4 linked regions of the Drosophila melanogaster genome follow. The protein of the gene in region 3 interacts with the protein of the main gene of each other region in a pairwise test. Each region holds a gene or a part of one and is shown on either strand. Other genes may lie near its edges. The genes, in order: CG16972, Nf-YC, DnaJ-1 and Archease.

What was found.
Region 1: the proteins of DnaJ-1 (region 3) and CG16972 interact in a two-hybrid assay, tested with the Drosophila melanogaster proteins (one large-scale study listed by BioGRID).
Region 2: the proteins of DnaJ-1 (region 3) and Nf-YC interact in a two-hybrid assay, tested with the Drosophila melanogaster proteins (one large-scale study listed by BioGRID).
Region 4: the proteins of DnaJ-1 (region 3) and Archease interact in a two-hybrid assay, tested with the Drosophila melanogaster proteins (one large-scale study listed by BioGRID).

What each region holds. Positions count from the first base shown.
Region 1 is NT_033779.5:13,197,291-13,205,062, forward strand, and holds the start of CG16972 (uncharacterized protein), read right to left. Parts: upstream 6,006-7,772; 5' UTR 5,711-6,005; coding exon 5,254-5,710; intron 5,119-5,253; coding exon 3,421-5,118; intron 3,365-3,420; coding exon 1,313-3,364; intron 1,254-1,312; coding exon 1,055-1,253; intron 993-1,054; coding exon 266-992; 3' UTR 1-265. Other genes in the region: Pect (phosphoethanolamine cytidylyltransferase), read left to right, coding at 6,900-6,982.
Region 2 is NC_004354.4:6,817,663-6,822,600, forward strand, and holds Nf-YC (nuclear factor Y-box C), read right to left. Parts: upstream 3,258-4,938; 5' UTR 3,065-3,257; coding exon 3,021-3,064; intron 2,863-3,020; coding exon 1,494-2,862; intron 1,432-1,493; coding exon 1,039-1,431; 3' UTR 516-1,038; downstream 1-515. Other genes in the region: iav (inactive), read left to right, coding at 1-7, 63-283, 344-494; xit (xiantuan), read left to right, coding at 3,431-3,498, 3,554-4,468, 4,532-4,642, 4,710-4,938.
Region 3 is NT_037436.4:5,749,524-5,753,922, forward strand, and holds DnaJ-1 (DnaJ-like-1), read right to left. Parts: upstream 2,667-4,399; 5' UTR 2,071-2,666; coding exon 1,066-2,070; 3' UTR 506-1,065; downstream 1-505.
Region 4 is NT_033777.3:21,660,651-21,664,770, forward strand, and holds Archease (archease), read right to left. Parts: upstream 2,323-4,120; 5' UTR 2,215-2,322; coding exon 2,160-2,214; intron 2,094-2,159; coding exon 2,069-2,093; intron 1,570-2,068; coding exon 1,179-1,569; 3' UTR 536-1,178; downstream 1-535. UniProt on the Drosophila melanogaster protein: Component of the tRNA-splicing ligase complex required to facilitate the enzymatic turnover of catalytic subunit RtcB.

The sequences.
Region 1 (7,772 bases), on a different chromosome or scaffold from region 3:
AAAAACACTTATTTCAAAATAGCGCATAATAAAGGCTACTACTCTCCGACTTACTTACGACTAAAATGATTGTTAGGACTACAGGGCTTAACACGCAACTTATTATAGTTTCCTATATTTGAACTATACTTGGGCAGACAGCCAAAAGCACATTTATAGATCGGGTATTCTGGGTGATATTCAAACATGGGTTTGTGTGAAAAAAAAAAACAAAAACTTTGTTCAAGGCCGAGACTCTCCACATTTCTAGTTCCGCGACACAGGTCTACGCCGATTGGGTCTGCTGGACAGCCAATTTCAACATGTGATTGGCGATACTATCTACAGTTAGGGATTGCGGGGACATCTCGATCACTTGGGACTTGTGGCGGGCATAAAAACGCTGAGCTCCATTGATTTGCGGCGCCAAATAGGTTAGCTGTCTCGGATCGGCGGCACTTATCCAGGCTTCGTCGTTCGATGCTGACTTGATGATCAGATGATCACCGGTGTTAACGCCCTCCGTGGCATCGTCGAATTGCGGCGATGGTAAGCGGTGGACCTGCAGCAGGCGGTGCGAGGGCGTGGCATGGGAAAGCTCACAGGCGATCACATGCACCTCAGACGGTTTGTTTGGTTCTTTAAGCAGCTGATAAAGCACCAGCATGCTGCTTTGGTCCAAGTCGAGGCTAGGATAGTGCGTAGCAGCCAGGCAACGGCCCAGCGGCCGGCCCAAGTCGTAGTTCATCAGAGTATCGCCGCTGCGATGATCCCAGACGGTGATGCGCATCTGGCCGTAGCCGATAAGGCGATCCTCTGAAAGGCACTCAATGTGACGCAGCTCGTGGCGCAACTGCTTAAACTCCCGTATGGAGGCCAGCGTATCCAGCGTGGGCGTCAGTGAATATTTGCAAATGCCCGAGCGCGACTTGCCCATCACCAGTTCCTGCTGCCATGCCATAACGAAGTAACGCGAATCCGCTATAGTTGTGTATATGACATGCGGCCATTCGCTAAATAACGAAAGTTGTAGGTTACGTCATTGAATTTATGCATACTGCGTGATAGTCCTCACCAATTGACAGCATCCAAGTGCACAGAGTGCATACGGGGTCGTAGTTCCTCCTCGCAGAAGTAATACACATTCACATGTAGCGAGGTTAGCTTCACCTCCCTCTTGTGATGGTCCAGCGGCCTGCTTCGCATTTCCAGGTACACCGGCGTCGAATTGTGCACGCAAATGCGGCTGCCAAACGGCGTAAAGATCTCTTTCTCTGTAATGCATCAAAGAGGCTAGAAAGATTCGTAAAGTGTATAAATGATCATAACCCACCGCTAGTCAGGCGCCGCACTCTGCCCAGGTAAACCCATCGCGGGCCCATTTTCAACTCCTGCTCGACGTCTTTGGGCTCGCGCGAAGGTGTTTGAGGCAGCTTTGGAGATGGAGATTTTCTGGCGCCATCAAAGGAGGGATTATGTCGCGGTTGATGCAGCACGTTGAACACTTTGGAGTACTTCCAGAAGGTAATGCAATTCTCCTGCAGCACAATGAGCTGTTCCAGCTCGTAGTACATATAGAGAACCTGGCCGTGCTTGGCAGAAAGTGGATTTGCTAGCGTCGCGGATCCCTGACTGAGTCGCAGCAGGCCCCCAGGAGGGGTGGCCAGGACTAAGTCAGCTGGATTGACTTTTCCGGCTTGCTGGCGAGGGCGATGTGGCTCCGTATTCGGTGGCGGTGTTGTTGGGGATGGCGGGTAAATAAGCACGGGCTGTGCATAAGGCGATTGAGCGACGGAGGGGGAATGAACGAAGGTCTTGTCAGCGGCTTCTTTGGCTGTGGAGTTGACCAGATGGCTGTGTGTAGGCGCGAATGTGTTGGGCACTTCTGGTGCCAGGTCAGCGAGCCTCAATACATTGGCATTAGGAACGGCTGCCACAGGCTCAGTCACCCTTTCAATATTCGAAGGCAGTGACTTGGCTCGTGCTCGCTTGGTCCGTTTAGTAAGGCGACTAGATTTCATTGCACTTGTCGTGTCAGTTTCAGTCTCCTTGACACCTTTCATCTTTCGGGGAGAGTTTGGCGGAGCCAATTGCTGTTGCTCCAAGCGATGTTGCTCAGGAAGACTTTTATCTGCCGGCTTCTTTAACGACGTCCGTGCTGCCTTGGGCATTGGAGCCTTTTTGGTGGTTTGTGCTGCACCGCCAGCCATCCGTTTCGATCGTCCCTGAGCCATTTCGTCCGACAGGGCGTAGCTCTTGAGCAGACTAACCTTGCGGCTACGAAGTAGCTTCGAATTAAGATGCGTGGTGGAGCGGGTAACCAAATCGCGTGCACGTGCTTCGTTCCCGAGACTGGATGCACCCATTGTAGTGCGGCGTCGTGGTGTAGCGGCAACAGGTTTGGTGGCTCCATGGGTTTTCCTATGTTTTGATTTTTTGGGTGTATCAACTGGTAAGGGGGCTGGAGTTTCCTTATCTGGACTGGTTATTGTAGGACTTTTCTTCGCTGGCTGGGAAATGACAGAAGGATGCGGCGCGCTTACGTCACCAAAGCCGCCGATTAAGTTCAAGGGCGCCGGTGAGATGTGAGACTCCTGCCTGCTGTGTGATGGATTCGGGGGCGAGGCATTGCTTGTAGCCTTAATAATATAAATTGATGGCTTCGTCTCACGCGCCTGGCGCAAGCGTTGCTGCATGCTCTCCAGCAGCTTGGATTGGGCAGGTGCGGCAGCCTCGAAGATCTTAGTAAAAGCCGCCTCAACGGACTGAACCCGACCCTTCTCAGACTCATTGTCTATCTGATGTTTCTGATAGCCGTCGCCATCAATGATGGATCTATGACGTTGCGGCTCCTGTCCTTTGAGCGATGGACGCCTCTCTACATCCTTTAAGGACTTGGAACTGGCTATAAAGTCGGTGGTTTTGGGTGACCTCTTCGTAGAGCATTCTTCCTCTTCCGCAAAATAAGAGTTGTACAAGTGATTCAGTTTTCGCTTATGCTCTGCAGGCATTTGAGAGTTGAAATGGACATCCGCATCCCCCGCCATCCTTGAAACGGATTCTGATGTCTGAGGCGGGGAGGGTTCTTCTTTATCGGTGCTAAGCTCACTACTTGTGGTCAACGGTATCTTCTTGTCCTTATCCTGCTGCCTATCTCGCTCCCTTTCGCGCCGCTTGCCACGCACATCACTACGCATCCTGTCCAGTTGCTGTTGTGGTCTCACCCGCAGCGATCGGCGAGGGATAGTGCTGTTGGCTAGTTCCCTCATTGCGGTAGCCACGGCATTTGCTGTTGACAGTTCGGTGAGACCCAGATAGTTGCAGAATTCCTGTTGCTCATTCGGATACTTAACGTAAGGCCCCTGATTCCCTTCCATTTGCATCTCTGTAATTTAAATTAACCAATTAAATTTGCAATAAAATACAAATAAAAAGTCTTACGTTGGGGAGCCTGTGGCAGTTCCTCGTAGTGATACATCTGTGGTTGTTGGTTCATCTTTTGCTCCATAAACTGCTGTTGCTGTTGCATTGTTTGCACCTGCTGACGCATAACATCTAATACAGCTTTGGTTAGTTGTTGGTCTTCTGATGGCCCACGGTCGCTTAAGTTCGCCTGCATAAAATCAGTAAGTCCTGCCGGAGCAGTTGGACAAGGTTGAGCATGGGATAAGGATGCGTCTAAATTCGCAGCGGATGAACCCGCCGTTTGAGTAAGCGCGCTTCTCTCCAAGTCTGCTGTAGATGTTTCCTTGGTAAGGTTCCGCTGCTCGAAATTCGGTGAATCCGTGTTCTTTATGTCATCAACAACTGGCAGCACTATCTCTTCTTCCTCCGGCTGTTGATTATCCTGTAGCTCCTCTTCGGGTATCAATGTGGTGACAGAGGCTTTTTCCATGCCGACCACCTCGTAGCAATCGTCGTCATCATCATCTAGCACAATTGTCTCCTCGGTGGGCAGAATGTGCAAATAGCGACGATACACCGGCCGTTCCGCCGACTGAGAGCTGGCAAGCTCTTGAGTGGATTCGTCTGAGGTTTGCATGATTTCACGGCTGATCTTCTCCATATTCCGGACCAGTGCTTCACGGAATTCGGCAAAGTTAAGCTGTTTGAGTGATGCGGTAACAGCCTCATATTGCTTGAAGGCAGCTTCAAAGCCTTCCACATCCTCGACATCGGCCCACTCTTCCCTGGGTGCCGTTTCCCAGTTGGAGACTTTCTCGGCGGGACTCATCTGCGGCTGAGCCTGACAAATGCTTGCCAGTCTTCGATCCATAGCCTCTCCATGGAGCGTATTCTTCATCAGCGGCGGATACTTTCGCTTCAGTGGAGCCACTTTGGATGGAGAGCGGCCGCCCGTTAACTCATCCTCATAGTCGTAGTGGTCACTGGCGTTGGGCATGGAGGATGAGCTGACGGGAAATTCCGTGGGACTGCTGTGTTCGCGAAGCAACTTTCTTTGCGGATTATTTGGCAGCGGCTCCTGTCCCTCGAATGCTACAATGTCGATAGGCTGGGCTGGTTCTTCCTGGATGACTGCGTCCTCGCATTCTTCATCGTCGTGGTCCTCCAGTTCGTGATCATACACCTGACAAATATCTGGGCGTTCCTCCTCCATCGGTGTATCGTCTAAGAATGTGGCGTTTTCGTTTTCCTCCGGAGCCTCGTCGTCGACCAGATCCTGGTGCACTAAAGGCTGTTCTAGCGCTGCATCACTAAGGTACACATTGTTTCCAGCCGCCAATCGTGCCTCGGCCACACCCATATCCTCCACGACCTCCTCGATGTAGGCAGTCCCATTGAGACACTCATTCGCATCACTCTCCTCGGACAGCAAGCCCAGCAATGCACCGGTACCGTTTCCGGCCATCATGATGGCCCTGGCGAACTCCTGCTCGCATGCCACTCCCTGGGTAGCTACTATGATCTCACAGCAGTGTTCTTCTCCTAAAACGACCATGTTCTCTCCATCCACAGCCTCATAGATCACACACTGCTCCCCTTCTTCGGCCACCTGAAGTTCATGTTCAGCCTCATCATTCTCGTGGGACAGCATTTCGAACTGGTCAACATTGCCATTTGTCAGCAGCATGCCGGGGCTTAGTGCAATGCCCGGATCCTGGACAGATTCGGGTGAGTCTAAAAAACAAGAAAAGTATGCGATTGAGTGAGTTTACCATATTAGATATTTCATATTTTCAATTGGGATAAATGTTCATAATCAATTAAATGGAAGAGATTTCCTTGTATAGTTAATGGAACAGATTAACAAACCGTTGATCTCGATGACCTCGTGGCTGCTGTACGAACGTTTTGCCGGTGTGCAGGTGGCCCATACTGGGGCTTGGTGTGTCTCTTCGGTCATCATCATTTGCCGGCGAAGTCCGAATATTAAGGGTTCATTCTGAGGGACGAAACTGGAAGACGGCTGCTCCTCCGGCCAGCCCTTGAAGCCGCTGCCACTCGAGATAAAGCTGTGGGTGTCCGAGTCGTCGGAGATCACGTGCAGGTTGCTGTCCACGGCGGGGTCCAGATCTGCTCCCGTCCTCGAGGATCTGGTGACAGATGCAACAAGATCCGTGGGATACTCCCGATCCTCAGCCACGTCCGATGCGTCGCCTGGAGCTTCGCTGGCCGTATCTATCTCGTCGCCTTCCAGCGGCGAGTACCGGTTCAGTAGGTGTTCCTCCGCCGCTACGTAGGCCATCAGGCTGGCTTCTCTTCTGGACATCGCGTTGGTACGGGGAATGGGATTGGGATTATCTAGCCCTCGTCGACTCGTTTAGTAATTGTGGTAGGATTTCTTGTAAATTTAGCACGTGAAATTTAAAAAATATACTTGATGCTGTCTACAAAACAATGCCCGAACTGACTGTGGACGATCATGATTACATTATCATGGCTTGGTCGGTTTCCTTCGATTGTTATTTTTCGTATATCTGCGTGCTGTGCGTTGTATATTTCTTATTTGATAGGCTTAATATTTTAAGTTGCTTTATCCTGTGTGACCGTGGGAAACACCGTAGTATTATCTCACATCGCCATGGCCAATATGCCTCTTAAAATACCATCGGTATTATTTTTACAGTGGGATCAATCAATAAAATATACCTTTAAAATGAAAAAAAAAATTTTAATTGTGAATGTTATTAGTAGTGTTCGTTGTTTAATTCTATGACACTTTTTTTTTAATAATTGTTGTGACAATATTTACATTTATTTATAAACAAAACACTTTGTTATATCCTAAAATATTATACATTTCATTGGGGTGATCGACTCATAAGGATTTAATAGAGTTAATACCCTTTTAACGTATAATAATACAGATTTGTACTTGCTTAATATAAAAGTTCTAGCTTAGTAACATAAAATTTGCCAATTTAAAGTTATTCCCAATATATCTCGATCAGCTGTTGATGTTTACAAAATCCGCGTTAGCTGGTATTCATCGCACCAGGCATATGGTATATTTGGACAAACACCGATGCGGCCACTCTGCTCTCACGGTACTCGAAATTGTGAGAAAAGAAATGAAAGAATCTAAAAAAAAACCCAAGCTAAACACACCGCACTTACGCCCCAAAGAAGTTCCCATGCGCCCGCGCGCTGATAACGCAAGTCTGAGAATCTGAGACCAATTCCGCTCCGAGTCTGAACGTGAATCCGAGTCCGAAACCGATAACGAAAACTGAACTGAGTAGCTCGGTCGTGAAATGGGAATTGATATATAGCGGGCGTCGTCGTAGCTCAGAACAAATAACTTACAGCTCTCGAAGCGTGAACGTCGCTGTCGTCGAGTTTCCGCCTTCAAAACGAGCACTGAAAACAGAAACATACTCTCCGGAATCTAATGTTCGCCCGTTAGCCGGATTCTAAATTAAAATTAAATTAAATTGTGAAAATTCAATAAGTCAACGATGGAGGCAAATGGCGATACCAGCGCCTGCAATGGGTATTCGGACAAGCAGCGGAAGGATGTGCGCGTCTGGTGCGATGGATGGTGAGTCATCTACATTACATTTAGGGGCCTCCAGGAATTCGGTCCACAATGTCTAACGGTTCTTAGGGCAGCCCATTGCGTCACGTCGTTACTCACCGCTAACGGTAAAGTGAGTCAAAGCATAACCATTCCGCGTCGGTGCCATCGATTCCATGCCACACCACGGCCAACCGAACCCTACTATTTCAATTCCAATTTGGTTTCCAATACCAATAACCGTAATCAGTCGACGATAAACTAAACCCCATTTTTAGGCGTGCTAAGAAGCGTCCAGGGTTCCTCAATTGATTAGCAAATCTTTGTGAAACGGTGCCGTCTCGCTGCCCGTTCCAAATATCCACCCATTGCCGTCGTCCGGCTGAAATGTCTACATAATTCAGGTTCAAGGTCTCTCGGATCCGAAATGTCCATATTCTCCACGCTTGACCGGGACATTTGGCATTATATTTATATTTATACGCTATGCAATCTATTTATAATTGTACGCTTACAGTGGCTATTCTAAAACAGATTACTCAGAGAAAATGTTTAATTTGCCTTTTCCGGCGATACTCGCACTCTTTATGGCGCTTAAGCTAACAACAATACATATATCCCAAATTAGTTTGCACAATAATTAATTGCTATATGTGATAAACCGGGTGTTCGGTTCATCTAATGCATCTATGTATTTTAGATCCGCATATAGATACTATTGACGCACTTTGCCTTGTTTTGGGCACCATCAAATGGTTCTATAGGCATTGCGTTCCCCCATATATATATATATATATAATTATTTGATTCCGTG
Region 2 (4,938 bases), on a different chromosome or scaffold from region 3:
GGACACGGTGAGTGGATAAAAAAAGTGAAATAGCTGAGTGCAAAATGTAAACCCACTAGCAGGGCTTCCACTTCGATGAAGCCGTCGCGGAGGAGGTGCTGACCATCGAACAGGAAGCCGAAGTGGAGACCGAGGACGGCAATGGTGGACAGGACAGCGAGGATATACCCACGGCGGAGGAGGTGCACGCCACTATGAAGCAGTTTCACCTGCGCAAGTGCCAGCCAGCACAGGATGAGGCCGCTCGTCGCGCCAAAAGTGCTCGTGTTCGTCGCCGAAACAAGTGAGTTCCCATCCCAGTGTCCGTTTCATATCTTAATCCCACGTTTTCCTTGGGCGCCAGAGTTTCGCCGGAGCAAAGCGATGATCCGGACGAGCGCAGCCAGCGGGGACGTTCCGCTTACACGCGGCGAACGCAATCGCCGCCCGATCCGCTGGAACCATGGAGCACCCGCGAACTGCAGGACATCAACAAGATCCTGGCCAGAAAGTGAATACAGTTAGCGCAGGAGTTTCTGGCACATAGTCCTTGGTGGCTTATAATTGTTTATCAGATCTTAGCTTAGTTAGAAGTACAAATACATAATAAAGAGCGCGGATGCCACGCGAAACGCTGGGTTATGCTTTGGACCGGTGGCATCCGTCACCCGTCACATACATACACTAATACACTCGATTTCCCATTATTCTCTCTAAGTGCTAGGTTTAAAAGTGGTGGAGGTGGCGGTTTTTTTTTTTGGAGAAGGTGAAACCTGCTGCCAGGGGGCGGGAGGGTCAGCAATAAATTACAATTGAGAAATCGTTTCTACACAGATGCCTACGACTTAGACACTAGCTATATATAATCTCCCCCGCGATATACAATCGTATACACCTACGTAAACTATAATATTATACATTGTGCTGGATGACAGGGGATGGCGCAATCAATGCCCGCTTGCCAATGCCCGATTCCAATGCCTCCCGATGCTTTCGATATGATTGCCAACTGTCCGTCTGTCCGTCCGTCCGTTGGTACGGATATCATACTTCCAGCTTTTACCGAAATCCGCCGGTTAATGTGCGATCCGTGGACATGGTGGAGATCGTTTGTGCCTGTTGCTGCTGCGCCGACTGCTGCTGCTGCGCCTGCGTCGCCGCCGCCTGGGCACCAGTCATGGTCGAGTTGATAAAGATCGGCGTGCCACTGGCCACCGCACTGGCGTTGCTCTGCTGCGTGAGATTGGCGTGCTGCTGCTGTTGCTGCTGCTGCTGATGGGCCACTGTGGGTGCTCCGCCCAGCTGGAGCAGTTGCTGTGTCGTCAGCAGTTGGGTTGGTATGATGACCTGTTGTTGCTGCTGCTGCTGTTGCTGCTGCTGTTGTTGCTGCTGCTGCTGCTGTTGCATTTGTAGTCGCTGCAGGAGATTCAAATGACTGGCATTGATGGCGATCTGCAATGGGAAAGGCAAGTCTTAATCTGGGATTCAATACAATTACCTCAAGTGATACCTACCGGCACATTAGTCAGCTCCCCCGTGGGCGTAACCACTTGCTGCAGCAGCTGAATCTGCTGCTGATGTTGCTGGTGCTGCTGTTGCTGCTGGGCGAGATTCTGGAGCAGCGCCGTCTGTTGCTGGGCAGTCGTTTGCGGCGCTGGCGTTGCGGTCAGCTGACCATTGGGACCGGCGGTCAGTATCAACTGCTGGGTGGGTTGTTGGGTTGACAAAATGTTGATGGGTAGATGATTCTGCGCGGGCTGCGGCTGCTGCACGAGCTGCGCCGCCTGCTGACTCGGCAGTGCGATAAAGTATTGCAACTGTTGGCCACCAGCGCCCTGCTGAATAATCTGAACCTGCTGTGGATGTGCCTGGTGATGTTGCTGCTGCTGTTGTTGCTGCTGCTGCTGGGCGGCGTGCTGTTGCTGCTGTTGTTGTTGCTGCTGCAGTTGCGCTGAGAAGATGTCCGAGTTGACAGTGCTGAAGCCGAGCACCTCGGCGGCATTGGTTGCACCCGTGGTGTCCAGCTTGAGGCCACCAGCGGTGGTCGCAGGTACGGTGGAACCACTGGCTACAAAGTTGCCCGTGGCGGTAGCATTGCCCGCCACGGAGGCGGCCGCATTGGAGGTGGCTGTGTTGGAGGTGGAGGCGGCACTGCTGGCTGCGCCCGCCATTCCGCTCGAACTGGATGTACTGCCATCCTTGGTCTTTTGCGCCGACGACGGTTTGATCTCTTCGCGCGGCACAATGTCGATGAGGAAGTCGAACTGGTCGTAGTTGGCTATGGCCTGGGCAATGTCCGAACGCTGGAGCGTACGCCGCCGGCTCTCCTCGGTGTGCACCCAAGCGTGCATAGTCAGCTCCTGAATGAAGTACTCGCAGGCTTTGGCAAACAGTAGCGGCGCCTCGCCGGCAATCATCTTGGCGTTCTCGTCCAGCTTCATGATTTTCTTGATGCGCGCCAGCGGCAGCACCTGGTGCTTGGCATCCACCTGGCCGATGCTGTGCACCTCGCTCACGATATTTGGCCAGAAGTTGTCGATGGTGGGCGGCGGTTTGCGTGCCACCTGAGTTCGTGTGGCCTTCGTGGTCTTCTCCTTGGCGCCGCTCGCAACGGTGGTGGCCACCGTCACACTCATGCTGGGATTAACCAGCGTACAGGCGTTGGACACCAAACTGGCCATGGGAACCGTCTGCTGTTGCTGCTGGCCCTGCTGTTGCTGCTGCTGCTGGGCGGAGGAGACGGTGGAGGAGGAGGTGACCACCACTGCATTCGGTGTTCTTCGCTGCATAGCCGCTGAATTTTGCGATTTGGCATACGCCTGGCCCAGTTCCATCTTTATGGGCGTCACTGTGATGGTGTTGTCGAACATGGAGGTGGCATTGCTGTAGGGCATTCACATTAGTTTCATTCAAATTATTTGGCATGCACAAATCGCAGAATGAAAACAAAAAGGATCGGCGCACACACTAAAAATCTCGGCTGTACCGCCTGTTTTTTTGGGGGAGGGGCGCTAGATTTTGCTGGCGGAGGCGGAACTTACCTGTTTGGCGCCTTGTTCGTGCCGCCATTGTTGGTGGCGTACATGGCCCGGTTGGCTGGAGACCTTAGCTCGGCGTTGGCGGCAACCGTGGGACTCTGGCGACCGGCTCGAGTCCACAATATTCGCTTTAATTAGCTTCTAATTCGCAAAGCAAATGCGTAATGTAATGCACACACACACACATGCATACACGCGAGCGTCAGTGTGACCAGGCGGCGGTGAGGGCGAAAACTGGACAGCCCGATAACGATAGCTTTTAGTCGGGCTAACTGGCTACTTCCAAGCCACATTTAGCCGGCACAATCGACAATCGCATTCTGCCCGCTTTCAAGCCAGATCGGACAGCACTTACCGCTGATAAGGAATGCATCGAATCTAAACTACAATCCCAATCCCTGAGAGAAACGAAGATGAAGGACCTCTTCTGGCACCTGGTGGGCATAGCCACCGGCCTAAAGATCCTGCTGATTCCAGCCTAGTAAATGCAGTGCTCTGTCCACTTATCAAGCCCACTAAATCAACTTCATCCTTAGCCATTCCACGGATTTCGAAGTCCATCGCAACTGGCTGGCCATCACCCACAGTTTGCCGCTGAATCAGTGGTATGTGGACGCCACCAGCGAGTGGACACTGGACTATCCGCCGTTCTTCGCCTACTTCGAGTGGCTGCTCTCGCAGGTGGCCAAGTACGTGGATCCACGAATGCTGGTGGTGGATAACCTGAATTACGAGTCCAAGGCCACCGTTTACTTTCAGCGGCTCTCGGTGATTGTTACGGATCTAGTGTATGTGCTCGGCGTGCGCAGCTGCCTGGGCTCACTGGGATTGGGCAGGGATACGCAGCAGTTCTTTGCCGCCTCCATGTTGCTGCTCCTCAACGTGGGATTGATCTTCGTGGACCACATTCACTTTCAGTACAATGGCTTGCTGTTCGGCATACTGCTCCTGAGCATCGGTTCCCTCATCCGGCAGCGGTTCCTCTGGAGCGCCTTTGCCTTCGCCGTGCTGCTCAACTTTAAGCACATCTTTCTGTACATGGCGCCCGCTTTTGGGGTCTACCTGCTGCGTTTCTATTGCCTGGAGCAAGCGAGTGTGGTGTCTGCGGTGGGTGCCGTTGTCAAGCTGCTGGTCGTTGGACTTACTCCGTTCGCCGTGTCTTTCGGACCCTTCTGGCAGCAATTGCCGCAAGTCCTCTCCCGTCTGTTTCCTTTCAAGCGTGGCCTAACGCACGCCTACTGGGCACCCAACTTCTGGGCGCTGTACAATGCCGCCGACAAGTTGGCCGCCGGAGTTTTGAAGGTACAGGATGGCGGTGCCTCGACGACGTCAGGATTGGTCCAGGAGGTCAGGCACTCGGTGCTGCCAGCCATCACACCGCCTGTGACTTTTGCCCTGACCGCTCTCTTCATGCTGCCCATTTTGGTGAAGCTCTTTCGCAGTGCCAAGAAGTGAGGAAATCCTCGTTTGGATTCCAAGATATCGCAGCAAACTTATCCGCCATCTCTTTGCAGACAAAGTCCGCTGGTCTTCCTGCGAGCGGTGGTTTTGTGCGGCTGTTCCTCCTTCGTCTTCGGCTGGCATGTGCACGAGAAGGCCATCTTAATGGTGCTCCTTCCGCTCTGGTGAGTTCCCTTCCCCTCAGTTAATTCGAAATGAAGGAATCCTACTAACAGGCCCACCCTTTTTCAGTCTGCTCACGCTGGTAAACCGGGAGGATGCCAGATACGCCTATGTCCTTGGCATTGCCGGCTATTTCTCTCTCTTTCCGCTGCTCTTCGATGCGGATCTGTACATTCCCCGGTATTCCCTGTACATGTCGTACGTGGCCATGATGTACGGCCAGCTGTATCGCATCTTCCCCGGCTTCCGAGGCTTCCACACGCTGGAGTGGCTATACATGCTGGGCTTCATGGCTATT
Region 3 (4,399 bases):
TTGCAAATGCAACTTAACACTCAACATAAGGATAGTGAAAATGTGTGACAAATGATTAAATTACGAAATCCTTTTGAAGAGAAAACAAATGAAAATAAAATGTGAAATTTAAAATAAAATTAACATGGAATTTCTTTTTATTGATTCTCTTTTTGGCTTTCGGGGATTTCAGGTTTTGGAAAAAGGATTTTAAACAACGATTTTATTTTAAATTTCATCTTTTCCACTCGACGTTTTAAACAAACGTTGCCAGTGATGCCAGATGGTTTTTGAAATGTAACACACGATCTATACACGCCAGGTGGCGTGTTGCCCTCTGGAAGTTTCCACATGTGGAGACTTTTGAATTGTTTGGCGCGCTAGTTATATATATTTAAAAATAGAAGAAATTGCCAGCAATACATGTTGTTTTGGTTTTAGCCACCACATTTTGATTGCCACCACGTGAAATCTAGCAATTTCTATAATGCTTGCAACCCACTGACCCAGAAACGACACTTGATGTGTGTATAAGTAATTTTATTGTTTATAACATAATAGAATTGGTACTAAAACGTACTATGTCCTTACGGCGTATAAATCTATAAGTGTTCTACTAACTGATGTAACCTCCCCGTGTTGGAATGCCGAAAATGTGCTTTGCTTGAAAAATGGTTAGTTACTTTAAATTTATAATACCTCATTTATTTAATATTTTGTTTTGGGATTATTATGTATAAGATGTTGAGGCACCGATTCATGTGGCGGTAAACAAAACAACTTATGGAATTTGTGTAATGCTAAATAGCTAATAATCGATCAGTCTCCAACACGAAACGGGCTACACGGGCTGCTTTATGTGTGTGTGTGTGTGTGTGTTGTTCTCTTTCCTAATCCTATCCAGCGCTTGCATCCTCGGCCAATATCTACAGCTCTTCGCTTGGCACACTCACTAGCTTAGGGCTACAATTGGTTAGGCTAAGTTGTCTTACGAGTACGTACGGTAAATTAAATATAGGCCTTAACTAAAGTGATAACAATTATATGCGTGTGTGTGTGTGTGTGTGTGGCTGGCACAGCTCTAGCCTAGTTGGGCAGCAGCTCGGACAGCTGATTCTGCAGACTGGGTGCCAGTGTGTCGGGAAACTTAATGTCGAAGGAGACGATCAGATCGCCGCGCCTCGATGGCTCCTTGGGCACCGGCAGACCCAGTCCGTTGATCCGGCGCGTTGTGGTGGGCTTGATGATCTCGTGGTTCGGATTCACCTGTATCCTGCTGCCCTGCAGCGTGGGCACACTAACCAGTGCTCCGCACAAGGCCTGCTTCAGACTGATCTGGGCTGTATACTTTAGATCGATTCCCTCGCGTTTGAACAGCGAATGCGGTTTGTCGCGAATGATGAAGACGATGTCAGCTGGCGTCTTGTTTGGCGCCGAATCACCCTCTTGGGGGAAGGTAATCTTGGTACCGGCCTTCCAGCCCGGCTTCACTGTGATCCTCAGCACCTTCTCCTCCTTGTACGGCCCATTGCTTCCGGTGGCCATGCGTGAGATTTTCATCTTCTTGATGCATCCCTTGTCCACTTCCTCCAGCGACACGAACAGATCATGCTCGATGGGCGGATCCTGCTGGCGCTTGCGACTGGGTGCCTGGGCATTAAAGGCAAACATATCGTCGCCGCCAATGTTCCAGAAGATCTCGTTGGTATTGCCGCCCTGACCGCCACTAAACATGTTATCGCCGCCGGTAAAGAACGCGCCAAACGGATCCGACGATCCAAAGAACTGGGCAAATGTGGCCCTCGGATCGCCGTGGAACTGGTAAGTGTACGCTCCCGGCTGACCGCCGCCATCTGGTCCCGGCTGTCCGCCCTTCAATCCATCCTCACCGTAATTGTCGAAGATGTCGCGCTTCTTTTTGTCCGACAGCACCTCGTACGCCTCGGCGATCTCCTTGAAGCGCTCCTCCGCCTGTGGGCTCTTGTTCTTGTCGGGATGGTATTTGAGTGCCAGTTTGCGGTAGGCCTTCTTGATCTCATCGTCGCTGGCCTTGCGCTCGAGGCCCAGAATCTTGTAGAAGTCTTTGCCCATCTCTCAGCTGAAAATATAGGGGAAACACAAACGAACGAACGCTATAGATTAGAATGAATACTGATTGCCAGCTTGCTGGGTTGGGGCGATGGAAAGTGCTAGAAGCACAGAACAGCACAGTTGTGCAACTGCCGTGTTGTCACGCGAGTGACGTATGTAGTCACCATCAACGAGAGCTCCGCTCCCGATGTGCTTCTTTCAGCAGATCAAATCGATGCGCCCACATGTGGCAATATGTCCAACGAAGCTTACCTTAAATGTAAGCGATTGTCTGGGAATCCGTAAAAGTTCAAAAATCCAAGTGGAAAAGTGCAAAATGCAATGGCAAAGTGCAATTGTTGGTATTGTTCACTGTGTATTCACACTATTTATATTTTCACGGGGCAATGTTCTTTAAATATTTATGAGTTTTGTCTCTTTCTCGCAATTGATTCAATTCAATTGTTCTTCTTCGCTTTTTTCTTTATCCACCAAATGTGGCTTGCGCACTAAAAACACACCCTACTTCAGAGTTTCTTTCTCTTCAAAATTTTGTTTAATAATGAGCGGGATTCGTGCGTCAACCTCATTTTATAGGTTCGCCCTCGTCTACGTCGAAATTTCTGGATGCTTCTCGGATTTTAGGGTTGTATCTCGAAAACGTTTGACTGCGAATGTCAATATCGATATGCTAACCGATAGCTGTCGATGTTTTAAACACAGTGCACTGTTTTTAAATCGCTCCCCATTTATATATATTTGTGCATGCTTTTGGCGGTGACTCTTCTTTATATGCTTCTTATGCTTTTACGATTATTATTAGCGCTTATTTGATTGCAAATGCCAAGGAAAGCGTGACTGTGATGGCGAAATGCGGAAAGTACTCCTTAAATCTCATATATCGCATAAAACTATCGGTTCTGGAATGTTTCGTGTAAGTCTGCGAAGATAGAGATCGATCTATTTTGAGGATACATTTGTTAATATTATAAGGGATTCTTCTACAGGGGTCAGATTGCTTAAAAACACACAGAAAAATAAACAAAATATTTCTTTGAAATATTGAAATATTTGAAATAGAAAAAACGTATTGACGAGGTAAGCATATTGTAAAAAGATAGGAAGGTGATGGAGAAAGTTGCACTTATATTGTTCAACCAAAGAGCTTATAATCAAAAGATCAATAGATATAAATATCTTTATATGATATAAAATATAATACATATAATATATTATAATATACAATGTATAAATTGCAAGTGTCAAATTGAATTCTTAGTGTAATATTCAAGCCAACGAAAAGTAACTGAAAGTTGAAATAAATAAATTTTTAAACTTTGCCAGTGTGACCGTAAGACCAAGACTTGGGCATTGCCACAGCTGCAATGCGTTTAGTATTTTACAGTCAGCGGCGGGCAGTCACACCGGAACGAGCACGTCTGGTAAAACAGCCGAACGGAACAACAAAAAACAATTGTAAAAATGACCCGTCGAGGCTCGTTTTAAGCGAATTTCTAGCGCAGTCAGGACGCAGGAGCAGCCGAGCAGGCCGGGATTAGGACCGGAGGAGCAGGATCATCGGGAGAGTAGAGCCGAAACCCACACTCACACACAAACGCAGCCGTATACCGCAGTATTTTCATACACACACACACACTTGAGGTGAGTGAGACGGAGGTACACACACATGCACACATACAGAGAGAAGAAAACAAGGCGCCCCACGAATTTTTGCAAAATATGGACGCGCCTTGCTAGGGACTAATTGCCAGCGCGAAGGACAACCATTGGGGCCACTTTTTGGGCCAAACTCCGGCCGACATATGCGTGTCACGTTCCACAGTCGAAGCCTTGACCGATCGCCCCGCCCACCGTTCACCGCCCCATCGCTGGAAGTATTGCGCAAACGAATGTGACCCTTAACCCTTGCCCCCCCCCCCCCTTCCACAAAGAATATCCTTTGGCATGGCGCCTGTTCAAAGGATGTCCCACTGCAGCAATGCAGCATTGTAGCAGCGACGGCAGACCCATAAAAATAGTCATTCATTCCCGCAAATAGAGAGCTGGCACATCGAAGAGAGCATACGGTCGACATTAATAGCACTTTCGCTGTAAACCCAAACATATCGCCTATATTCATTGAGTAATCCGTCTGGGTTCTAGGGACCCAAAAGTTCCCCCCAGTGAAATACCCACCCACTGCATTGTGCGGCGATAATCGTTATCAGTTGCAACTCGTGAGTGGTCATTGATATTCGCAAAAGGCAACTGGACAATGTTTGATTGTTATCAGACCCCTGATTGTAACCCAGTCAATAGCTTACATTACTCCCCATTATCCTGTTATTTG
Region 4 (4,120 bases), on a different chromosome or scaffold from region 3:
CGCACTCGAAAAGCTGAAAGCTAAAAGCGAATCGACCAACTGGCCGTTTGTGTGTGCGTGTGTGTCCGCGGGCTATTTGCCTTCATACTTTGTTTGTTCTTTCGCACGCTCATTCGTATGGCTCGTCGACCGCAGCGTTGCTTTTTTTTTAATATCAATCAGCTGTAAAAGCGTATATTTTTCAGTTCGCCGTTCTTCGCCCGATGTTCCAAGGAAAAATCATCATACTCGTGCACGCACGCACCCACACAAATACAAGAACGGGCCCATATGTTGGGCGACGTTGCCCGGCAAATGTTTTTTTTGTTGTTTACTTTCTGGGTTTTGACGGTGCGGTCAGCTGTTTCAAAACAAATCGCTCGGTGTTACCAGCTGACTTCGCTCATCGGCCACTAAATAACATCGGCTCACGCGAAAATCATCCGAATAATACTGATTCGAGAATAGCGCGTTATTCAAAGGAAATCGGTTTTTTGAAAAGCGTTAATATTTGTTGATATCGTCGTGGATTGATATTTAGAATTAGGGATTGCTTAATCGTATAGATATTTATTACGATTTACATTCATTGAACTAAATTATTGTTGATAAAAAAATATGTTTGTGTTTTTAGGCCCCGCATTCTCTATACTTTATGTCGAACAAATCAAGTCAATCATAACATTAAAACTATGGCCTTGACTTGCATTGTTAACTGCCCTATTCGACATGACTCCCCAAAAAGAAGTACAACTTAATTCTTTAATGCAACCCAACGCGTCAGCAACTCCTGAAGGCTGCCGAATAAAAAGTGCATTGAACTGGGGCCTGGGAAAGGACAACAAATTCGGCATTTGTCTGGGAATTCAACACGTTGCCAATTCACAAAGCAGTGGGCAAAAAAAAAGTGAATAGTACACAAAAAATTCGAAGGCAAAAGGGTAAATCTTGATTCCGGAATCAGACCGGTGAGAAGGAAGCCAGTCCTAATTGCATTTGCAGCCGCACAATCGAGTGGTTTCTTGATAAGTCATCCTCATCGACAAGGGATGCAGTCGCAGCACGAGAGATTGCAAATTTTTCGGGGCTTATGCAGCGGTTTTTATATCGTTTTTTGGCATTTCACTTATGATTAATGGAGACAGGCAAAGGGGTTGAAACAGAACAGTCACATTTAATTCCCGGCGATCGCCGCTGGATCAAATGTCAATTATCACGAACACCTCGTAGTTGCTGGCCTCCACGTCCTGAATGATTTGCATGGCCGAGTATGTGATTGCCTTCACTTCGGTGCCCTGCGGATGTTTCCCCAGCTCAAATGGTTCCCCGTAACAATGGCAGGAAATCTCGAAGTTTTCCACATCGAACTTGGTGATCTCCAGCTTCTTGCACACCAGATACGGTTCGGCAGAGAACAGGAACAGCAGCTCGTCCAGAAAGTGAAAGAGTAAGCTCTCCAGATCATCTCCATGCGCTTCGATTTCAAAGCACTGCTCCACGGACACGTAATCCAGTTCGGTCATATATCCAAACATGGCCACTCCGCACTGTTCGAACGCCTCTTTCAGCGACGATCCCCATCCGTGGATTCTGTCAAATGGGAAGGATTCCAACATCATCCGTTTATATTAAGTAAATTAATTATGTCTATTGTAGCCGTAAGTTATAATTTATATACAAAACTGCTGCCTTTTAGTGGCGTAGTAAAAGAATTATTTATGATCTACTACTTAATAATAGTCTTGTTGTTTTAAGCGATAGTAGTATAATATAAAAGTCAGAAAAAACTTGCATTACATATAATCTTCAAAAAAGCAGATACATTTGACGTTTAAAAAGCCGTATTCCCTAACTATGAACATAATACATAGGTTTGGGAAAATATGAAAAATTATAATGGCTTTAAAATATGTATAAATTAAAATAAATTCTTTTTCAGAATGTTTGCTATATCTCAAATTCTAATACGAAAGCGCTTATTAGAATCTAGTTTATACGATCATCTGGATTTTTCATTCACAAATAGCGAACCACCCTACTCCACATGGCTAACGGGCACACTTGTTGTTTTTGTTGTTATCTTACTCACTGAACATCCGCCGTGTGATCCAGGTCTGCAACGCAATGTGATGAAATATTTAGCAACAGATTATTCTCCTGCAAATCGAAGAACTACTCACACTCGTACTTCATCTCCGGCAGCAGGAAGTTCTCCCTACTGAATTCCACCTCCATTATTGTTAGTTATAGCTAAAGTTAAAGTAAAATTCGCGGACAAAAACTATAAACAAACCAGCAACCGCTTAGTGTGACCATCTATGCGCAGGGGAAAATACCTACTGAAAGGAATATACCGAGCTCCAATAAGAAATTGTTAACATACAAATTACAGAAAATACTGAGCTCAAACCGGGAAATGTTAACATACAAATTTTAATAAAATGTATAAAATTGTTTGTAAGAAATATTTGGGTTTTATTTAATAAAGAGTAAACTATAAATTATAAAGATTGAATTATAAGATAAAAGTTTCTATCAAGCTTTTAAATTCGAAATTGTTAAAAATATCTAAAAATACCTAAAGGCTTCATTTATTTTTAACTTTGTAATTTAAAAAACTTGTAATTTAAATATGCATGTCAAATGGGAAGGATTCCAACATCAGAAGAGAAGAAAAATAAAAATAATGCTTCCTCCTTTAATAAAGTGTTTACAAAATGCTTCCCACGGCCCTTTTAGTTAAAAAAAATATATCTAAAAACGTTACAGAACGAAAGAAATAAAATTGTGCTAAAGGCTGTGATTGTAATAAAATTAAGTAATTTTGAGCAAAATTAAAGCAGAATTTCCAGTTTATGCCCACCATTTGTTATCGCACTTAAAGTGCTACAAAGTGCTGGCGCATGTTTTCAGCCCAGTTTTGAATTTCTGTAAGAGCGACCTTGTCCTTTCATTAAATCGCAATCAGCCATAACAACTGAAGCTGCAACCTTGTATTTTCATTTGCCAAAAGAAACAGTCCACAAAATCTTCTTCTGGCCTACCGGCAGCATTGCCGTCAATCGTTACGATTGTCAATCACGTCGCTTGATTTATTCAATCCCATGAACTTGAGCGCTGGCTGTGAGTACTTGATTTCATACTTGAATAATACCCATTGACGGACATGGGATTGTCTAATAAATATTGCCTCATTAAATTCAGATCACTTTTCAACCAGCGGTGATGGGTTATTGTTTGAAATAGACAGCGAAGGAAATATTTATTTCTAAGGTCGTTCAACTCGTTGATGTAAAGTTCAAGAAATATTTAGTGTGTTAAGAGAAATGAAAAGTTATTTTATAGTTAAAGTGTTTGTATTATTTCAAATGAATTTTGTATTTACTTTTTGTTCACCTTTTGGGACATTAATATGAATTATTATCAAACATGCTATAAAATTATATGAAATAATATTAATAATAACTTGCTAAGTAATGGTTATCAGTTAGTGCGCATCTCGGTCAATTAAATGATTCTACGCATTTCTAAAGGAATTTATGAATGATTTCTGCTGGTGATTTACGACCGTTTTGTTCAATTTTGTTCATTTTGCACATGAGGAAACGCGACTTGGGGGTGTCAAACTCTAAGCCGAGTTGACAAAGCTCAATTTTGTGCCCGGCCATATTATGGCTTTCAAACATTTTCCTGCTATTTTTGTGGTTTTTTTTTTATTATGGCTCATTTGGCTGCTGCTGCCACTTTTGGTGGAAGCTCTTTTTCTCTGGTTTCCTACGTCTTCGAGTGGTTCAGTTGGCTACGGGAGCTCGCCTGATTCACGTCGCGTATTCGGCGCAAATAACTGTAAAGCTATTATTATTCTCGAATATTTGCGCGCCTTTGCGTACGAGTTCCAGAATTTCATATTTGGCTACACTATATATTTGGAACAACCAGAAGTAAATTGCCTGGAAGTGAAACTAAAGCTCGGGAGTTCGGAAAACTCAACTAAACTAAGTAGCTAGGTAACTTGTTTTGTTAAATAACTGACCGTTGGTCAACTTGGTTGCAAATGCAACCGCTAAACTGAAGAATTGCCAAATATTATCATACGTTGTTGCTCTCGCGTTGCATGACTGGCTGCCGCCTCTAAGTGGAT